Caenorhabditis elegans: one gene and its partner. The protein of the gene in region 1 interacts with the protein of each later gene in a pairwise test. Each region holds a gene or a part of one and is shown in the gene's direction. Other genes may lie near its edges.

Evidence for each region.
Region 2: the proteins of F45D3.4 (region 1) and pid-2 interact in a two-hybrid assay, tested with the Caenorhabditis elegans proteins (one large-scale study listed by BioGRID).

The regions. Positions count from the first base shown.
Region 1 is NC_003283.11:12,551,447-12,555,210, reverse strand, and holds F45D3.4 (uncharacterized protein), read left to right. Parts: upstream 1-2,019; 5' UTR 2,020-2,044; coding exon 2,045-2,132; intron 2,133-2,187; coding exon 2,188-2,786; 3' UTR 2,787-2,998; downstream 2,999-3,764.
Region 2 is NC_003279.8:91,239-95,594, forward strand, and holds pid-2 (Protein pid-2), read left to right. Parts: upstream 1-1,783; 5' UTR 1,784-1,853; coding exon 1,854-1,898; intron 1,899-1,943; coding exon 1,944-2,318; intron 2,319-2,370; coding exon 2,371-2,777; intron 2,778-2,825; coding exon 2,826-2,970; intron 2,971-3,030; coding exon 3,031-3,330; intron 3,331-3,383; coding exon 3,384-3,476; 3' UTR 3,477-3,625; downstream 3,626-4,356. Other genes in the region: natc-3 (Sm domain-containing protein), read left to right, coding at 171-356, 1,285-1,410; Y48G1C.13 (Chitin-binding type-2 domain-containing protein), read right to left, coding at 3,626-3,691, 3,738-3,880, 3,999-4,074. UniProt on the Caenorhabditis elegans protein: Involved in gene silencing mediated by a class of 21 nucleotide PIWI-interacting RNAs (piRNAs) that possess a uracil residue at the 5'-end (also called 21U-RNAs) and that guide the Piwi protein prg-1 to its DNA targets for silencing.

The DNA.
Region 1 (3,764 bases):
AGATGAAACGACTTGTGATGAAAAACATAACTAAAGTAAAATTTGATTCCATACCTGCAGCATCGTCAGGATACTTGATTATTTTAATACGGATTATACCACAAGCATACATTTTTTTCAACAATTACCGATTTCAACAGCTCCCAAGTCTCAACATTATTAATATGAACGGAAATGTTTTCAGTGAAATTCGTATTGGAAATAAATACACCTTTTCTTTATCAAGTTATCAAAAATGTACAGGTCCATCTTTGTGGGGATTCAATTTTTGATAATTCAACAATTTTTTTTCGAGTTTTCGCAAGCGCTCAAAATAATAAAAAAAAGTGATGAAATTTCTGGGTAACCCCAACTTTCAAATAAATTTTCATTGATAGAAAACTCTACCTAGAAAGTTTCTTATTCGTATCGATGTCTAGACAACGAGGTTTTCCATGTTATTATCGGGTGCACGGTGGGTACAGACTTACTAACAATTATCGTCAAAATCATGATTTCTTCGCCAATAAGATCAACCTTTGTACCGTAACCCAACAAGACCAGATCATCTGAAAACCCAAAAACATCTCCAATATGATTGATAAAATCGTTTATTCCTGATGACGTGGCTTCGACAAACGGACGCCTTGTTAGCTGTGGAACGTGCCGTCGATCATTCCTTTTTTCACAGACATTCCTATCATCCAATTCATATCTGGGTAACTGTCACTGACATCGATCCCCCTCGGGTATCTCATTTTAACTACCAATTGAGACTGATCTACACCACGCCTCAACTGACCAATGCCACGTCAACGATAACTGATGAAAACATGAAGAAAATGAGATGATAGAAGTACAACTACACATTCCATTTCTCTTTTTTCTTCCTTGTCGCTATCAGACTGTTAAAATGAGAGAGAGAGAGAAATAGATATCCCTGATGATCCTATAAATAAATATCCTACCTGTGGCCTTGAAATGATTGAAATTGTTGAGTAAAGTTGAATGGAAAGGATCAGAAAACATAATGAGATAAGAAGGCAAAAGACACTTAAGATTAAAAAAGTTGAAAACACTTTCAATTAGATTAAAGTGAAAAACAAGTGTTAGGTGTGAAATTTGAAAATATTTTTTGTGTACTTAGTTGTTTTCTATACGGATAACAACGAGATCTACAGATAATCCCAAATTGTCATTATGAAACGCTTGTAGTTAAAAAGTGAATTCTCAATTGAGCTGTAAAAAAATATATGGCTCATGAAAATTCGAGTTTGAGGACCCAGTTTCTGGCAAAGAATACGCCAAACTTAGCTTAGAAAAATGAAAATATAAGCAGATCCCCTTTAATATCCCTAGATTAGTATAAATACTTAAATAACATTTGAATTTAAGAAACTCAACAGAAGATAAAGTAAGAAATAAAAACATAAAATATACAAAAACGATTGTACAACATTGTTTGCTTAGATAGAGATGAACATGTCCAGCTTGAAACATGTTCACACTAGTGAGATCGGTTCCTTTTCGAACCTCTATAATCCCATTAATCTTCATGAGACTTTTACCGCGCGTCATTCTATATCACGAGGCGATCTCCATCTCTTATCCCCGTGTTAGATACATCTCTATCTTTAGCCCATAAGTGATAAGATAAATGATAAGCGTCGTCATCGACACTTTGTCCCGCGACAAAAAAAAAATGGAAACCAGCGCCACGCGAACGGTGATGGACACGAACTGAACAGAACGTCGCCAGAAACTGCGAAAAGTTATCCTTATCATATCAGATATAATCAGCTGATTAGGGATTTGTTATCTAGACAGTGATAGAGGAATGTAAACACCTCATATCTTATGATAATTCACGAGATTTTTGTCCTTGGCGCCGCCCATCCTTCTCCAAGCGCCGCCCATCCACTTGGGGAAGGACGGCGTGCGCGCGCCTCTGATCAACGACTACAGGGCGGCAATATTTAATGGCTGACGAGGAAGACATTGTACCTCACTTCAAGTGTTCATTCCTTTTTCTATTTTTAGAAAACACAACCGCTCGAAATAAACCATGAACTTCTCTCTATTCTTCGCTACTGTTCTCTTGACAGCTTTCGCTGCATCAAAACCAACTACAACAACTACTGAAAAACCAGATGGTTAGTTTTAAACTCGAAATTATTTGAGCTCTTTTATTATCATTGTTTTTTCTAGACTCCTTCGATCTTGACCTGTTCCTCGGTGCCATGGGAGATGGGCATTTTGCCGATGGAAATGGAAATGTCGACGGAGTTGTTCCAATGACTCCAAAGAAATCCGAGAAACTTCCAGGACAAAAGAAAGTAAAGGATGAATTTGAGCAACCAGATGGAGTTGTACCCGAATTCACTGGATCTTTTGTTACTGAAAATCCAGAAACAGCATCTGCCTCGACTCAAACTTCCGATGAGGATACCGATGAGGATTACTTCGGAGAATCTACCGGTGGAGCTGCCGTTGCTGGACCAATCACCAATCCAGCTGCCACTTATCTCGAGGGTTCTGATTTCGAGAAAGTTACTCAACCATCCTGCCAAATGCTCGGATGCACTGGACCAATTCCAAACGACGGCTCTTACTCTGCTTTGTCTGCTACTTTGGATAACAAAGCCTGCAATCAAATCTTTGTGGCAATGAATGGATGTACTGATAATAAGGGATATCCAATGGGAATGCTCTGCTCCGTTTGCTGTGATTGTGCCAACTCTTTTGTACAGGAGATGAAGAAGACATTCGGTTACAAATCAAACATTCCAACCTCTACATTCAACTAAATCAGTTGATTGTTTGATGCTCTTCACTTCTATCATTTTTCATCTGTACATTCATTCTTCAACTTGCTTCTGCTTCTGTAATTGTACCTACCATTTTCTTAAACAATCGACTACGGGTTCGATTGCCAATTTTGCCGGTCTCTTGTATATAATCCCACATGCTCGCTTTTGCCCAAAAAACACTGGTTTGTAAATAAATACTTTGATACATTTGAATTTGATCCATGAATCAATTGCAGTAGATATTGAAGCTGTTGTCTTCTCAACAAAAAAAAATTGAAAAATCAAAAATCAGAAGTCGAAATGTTTCCAAATTCTAATTTGGCAAATGTTGTACATTCCAAACCTATTAGGATTCAATTGGTGGTTTCTCATTTCGAATTCCATACTCTCAGATACTTTTTTCTCCGAACAAATGCCCATTTTTCTACTTTGATTGACAAGTGAACTTGGCACGTCAAAACAGGTTATTTTTTAGACGGGTCAAAGAATAAATCAAGGAATGAAAAATGGAGGAACTTAACAAATACCATTGAAAACAAGATATTAATTCGTGATAAAACAAACGAATGTCTGCGGCCAAAGATTACCTGAATCTTGGCTTCAAGCCCTCAGATGTGCCTTACTGGCGCCATCACATCTTCTTCAGTCGTATCAACATCCTTTATCTGCGGTTATGTCTACGTCTTGTCTATTCCAATTGTTTTAATGATCCATCTACATAATTTGTTTTTTTATATTAGAGAAATTCGAAAAATGAGATCGAGTAAGTACATTACGACGTCTTGTTTTTGTAACTCTCGTTGGAATAGGCCAAGATGCGGCGTTGATCTTAAAAAAAGATAGTTGAAAGTTTAACCTGAATTCAATGCTATTGACAATGCAATTTGAAGTATATTGACGTATTTTTTTATGTTAGAACTGCCTAGAACAGTATAAATTTCCAATTTTATGATATTGATGGAATTCAGTTGAAAT
Region 2 (4,356 bases), on another chromosome or scaffold:
CATATTTTGTGTTGTGATACATATGTCTAAATTTTTACGGACTGAAAAAATACTTTTTTCTTAATGTTTTTGAAATTTTCATTATTGGTGGCGTCATCCATGTCTATTTGATTTTCCAGACCCCCCCCCCCCCCTCTAAAATGAAAAGAACAAGACGATTGACAGCTAGCATGTGCGACGATCAAAGTACCGATTTGATTCAGTTGAAGGGACACGAGAACGCGAAAAAGTCGGAAGCCCATCTGAAAGTGCTGGAATACATTGGCAAACGCTATGAAATTCGAATGACCGACGGGCGGTACATACGTGGCACGATGATCGCCACTGACAAGGACGCTAATATGGTTTTCAACAAGGTAAAAATTTGATGAAAATTTGGTCCAAAAGCTCATAGTTTCAAATATTTTTCCTTAAAATTATGCGCCGCAGGCAAAACAACATTCCGCCTTTTTCTATTGCTGGCTTAGTTTTCGCAATTTTCTCGGCTACCAGGCTACTGCAAAAATGATCGATCCGTGAATTGTGCAAACATCTGAGTTACACAGAGAGTGGGGCGGAGCGGAACATCGCAACACTGCCGCATGGTTTTTCCACAACTTTTTTTTTCAAGAAAGTTTCGATTGTACTTGTTTTTTCTCTTTTTTGTATAAAAATGGTATTCATTCTAAATAATTCACATATGCTAAATTGCATATAAAAACATGGAATATCCTCTCAAATTAAGAGTCTTAATCTTATTAGAATTAAATTGGATATCATTTTCATTCGAAAAGAAAGAGAAAGAAACAAGTAAAATCGAAACTTTTTTGAAAAAAATGCTTGATTTTATTTCATTTTCGTTGTTTTTTTTTCAGTATTTAACTTTTGAACGATCGATTATTTATAAGGTTTGCGGTTAAAAACGATGAATTTCGTGTTTTTCTTTTCTGGATTCAAATGACAAGTTTTAACCAATTCGAATGTCAAACACGGAAAAATAAGCGAAAATAACAAAAAATCGTGTATTGTAACCAAAAAGTTCTCCACGAGTAGTACACTAGAGCCGACGCGCCGCAGGTTTGCAAAACAACGCCCACCCCGTTTTCTGCGCGGCACTACACAATTTTCTATCTCACGAATAAATATTTCAGAAAAGGCAGGATTTTGTCTGAAAATCATGAAAAATCAAGTTTTTTTCAGGTTTCCAACGCTGAAATGGTTGGAATTAGGGTTTGTTACCAAAAATCGTATAATATTAAAATCCCAGTGCTTCTCTGTCTTTCAGCAATTTCTTTTAATTTCCAGGCAGACGAGCGATGGGACAAAGATCCACAATTGAAAGGAGTCCGATTTCTAGGGCAAGCGATGATCTCGAAAAAGCACGTGGAATCGATGCACGCGTTGCCGGACCCTAAAGAAACTGAAATTTGATCCAGTTTTCTTATTTTCTCTAATTTATCCCATCCTTTTCTTGTCAAGATTAATATAAATTAATTTTTATCGAAGCGATTTTTGTTCATCTCATCCAAATATGAAAAAACATTCGAAAAAAAATCGCAGGCTTCACTTGGAACCGCGCGCCATCAGTTGAAAATGCTGAATATGTACAAAGACTGGAAAATATTAAATTTTTATGTTTAAAATTTCACGTTTTTCGTGTTTTCCACAAAAAAGCAATGCATTGTCGTTTTTCAAAAAACACTCATGGTAAACGAAGTCCCCGTGGAGTACACGACAATGTCGCATCGAGACCCAAACTGGGAAACGCCTGCGCCTTTAATTTTAGGAGTTTAATTTTCGAATTTCGAGTTATTTTTTTCTCAAGTCTTTTTGCGACTTTTTTTTGAATATTTTATTACTTGTAGCGCTGAAATATGACAGTTATTATAGCGTCACACTGGGGACCTCAATCAAAACAGGTATTTTTCAAAATTTCGCCGTAAAATCTAATAACCAATTTTGAGATGTTGCCACCCGAGCCCCCACGGATAATTCTGAGAGAAGTTCCGGTCCAGAATAACCAGAAAGAGCATCCACCGGTTCAGGAGATCAAAACCGTGTCCAGCAAGTCGAAGGAACATCGCGTCAGTTCGAGCCGGAAAATTCCGGATCACTTCGACGTGGGCCCACGGTTCTACATGAATGTCCCCGCAGATGGCTCAGAAGTGTTCGAGGACGACGAAAAAGACGTCGAGAACGAGTGTTGGGCGGTGATCGAAAGAATAGGAAGCGAGGATGACAAGTTCGAGGCCTCTGAGCTTGTCGAGTACCGCGATCACGATTGGTACATCGCTTTGGCGATTAATAAGGAGAAAACGCCGGATAAGGCGAATTATCAAGTAGGAATTACGAAAAAAATTTTGATTTTCAATCTCATTTTTTAAATTTCAGCACCTACTCTACAGCTATCGAGGCGGAATCCAACGCATAATTCTCACGCCTCAACAGACGGATTCGATCGACAAAACGCCGCTAGTGAAGTACAAAATCATCGGAGACGGTCTGTACGAAGTGCTTCCGATTCACTCGTCCCTTCCTCAAACTGGTCTAATCAGTCCCAAATATCGTTACAACAAAGGCGTCGAGCTTCGGATTTTCGGGATAGTGAATTGGATTGATTTTGTGTTGGACGACGATCATCAGACGCACAGGACGATGGTTTGGACAGATGCGGTCGGACCGATCTATCTGAGTGCCGCGGATCGAGCCAATATTCGACGGAAGCTGCTGCTGACCGAGATGCAGATTTTCGCGCCGTTGCGAATGTGCCATATTACTGTCAAGGCGGAATTTAACTTGTTAGTTAAAAAAAACGCGTAAAAAGAATAATAGTTCCAAATTTTCAGCTCGATTCCCGATGGTTCCCCGATTCAATGGACCATATCATCGTTCCAGCCACTCATCGAAGAATCAGAGAAGGATCCGAATATTGGGCGCAATTTATGGCCAGCGAGAGTGCTCAGATTCGATGATTTAGTCGTTACAAAGAAGGTGCTTAATCATTTTAATATTAAATTTTAACAGCATTTATAATTATTTATCTATTTCCAGACACCGAACGGCTACTGGCTGAAGTCTCAAAGATTGGAGGGTCACGTTAATGTGTTCGCCGGTGCAAATCAAATCGGAATCATTGAGTCGGCGGGTGAAAAATACGCGACGAAGGGAAGCATGATGGCGTTCGTGGTTCCGTGCTATCAGAACAGCACGTTTGCATATTTCGAAGCACTTATCGCCGGACCCCCGCGAGTCGTGATGATTATTACCGAAGGACGCTTTCTGAATTATTGCCCGAAGACGTGGCCACCGTCTGTTCGGAAAATGCGTGATCAGTATCAGAAAGAGCACGTTGTAAGCACAATTTTCCAGAGAAAAAGGCTTTCGATAAATTTTCTTATTTTCAGCTGAAATCCGAAGTCCGAAGTTCACCAATCTGCATGAAACAGCCGGATTATTGCCTCAAATCACTACGAGGATTCAGCGAGTGCCCATTTTGATCACTCAAAGTTTTATATATTTCTGTATTTCTTCTGCCTTATTTTAAAAAGTATTTTCCCGTTTTTTTTCTTTTGTTCAATTTTCCCTTTTTCTTTACTTGTTATGTCCTATGTTTCATGCTAAATTAACGTATATTTTTAATTAGCAATTAAAAAACTTTCTGATTAACTGCCAGTTTTTGAGAAGAACCAGAAGATGGAACGCAGGCGAGTTTCTGAAACGGAAAGGGTTTGAAATTTTTATCAATCAAACAAACTCGCAATTTTATCAAAAACCATGCCGTCGTTGCAAGTTTGAAAAAACCACATATATTTGCAACATTGATAGAATATCATTGGATCGTATGGATCCGCCATGGCCAGACCATCATATTGACATGTACCGTTTAATGGGTTCGGTACCGCTGAAAAGTTGTTGGTCTCGCAGCGAAGTACTACAGTAATCGGGAAAAAGCGCTGTTTATTATCGATTTTTCAATTAAAAATCAATAAACTCGCCGCGAGATCCAAACCTCAACTTACGATAGCTTTTTGTAGGAGTCGATTGTCCATCGACAAGGAAGCCAGCAACTAGGAAAATTTTGATAGGGAGAAGCATTGAAATTTAATTGTTTTTGGGGGTTTCGTTTGGTTTTTATAGGAATTTTTGAGCTGTAAGAAAACAAAGCAACATTTATTTCAATTAAAACCGGAAAATATGAGTCATTATGGGGGGTTTTCAACCGTACGGAATTTGACAAATTTGAAACTACCATAAAATGGTTAGTTTTGTAGTTAGAGAACTCAAAATTGATTTTCTAAGACAAAAAAATTGCCCTTTTTCAGAATATAGTAGGTTTGTATAATTTCCAAAAAATTATTTTTCTTGCCCAAAAAAAAA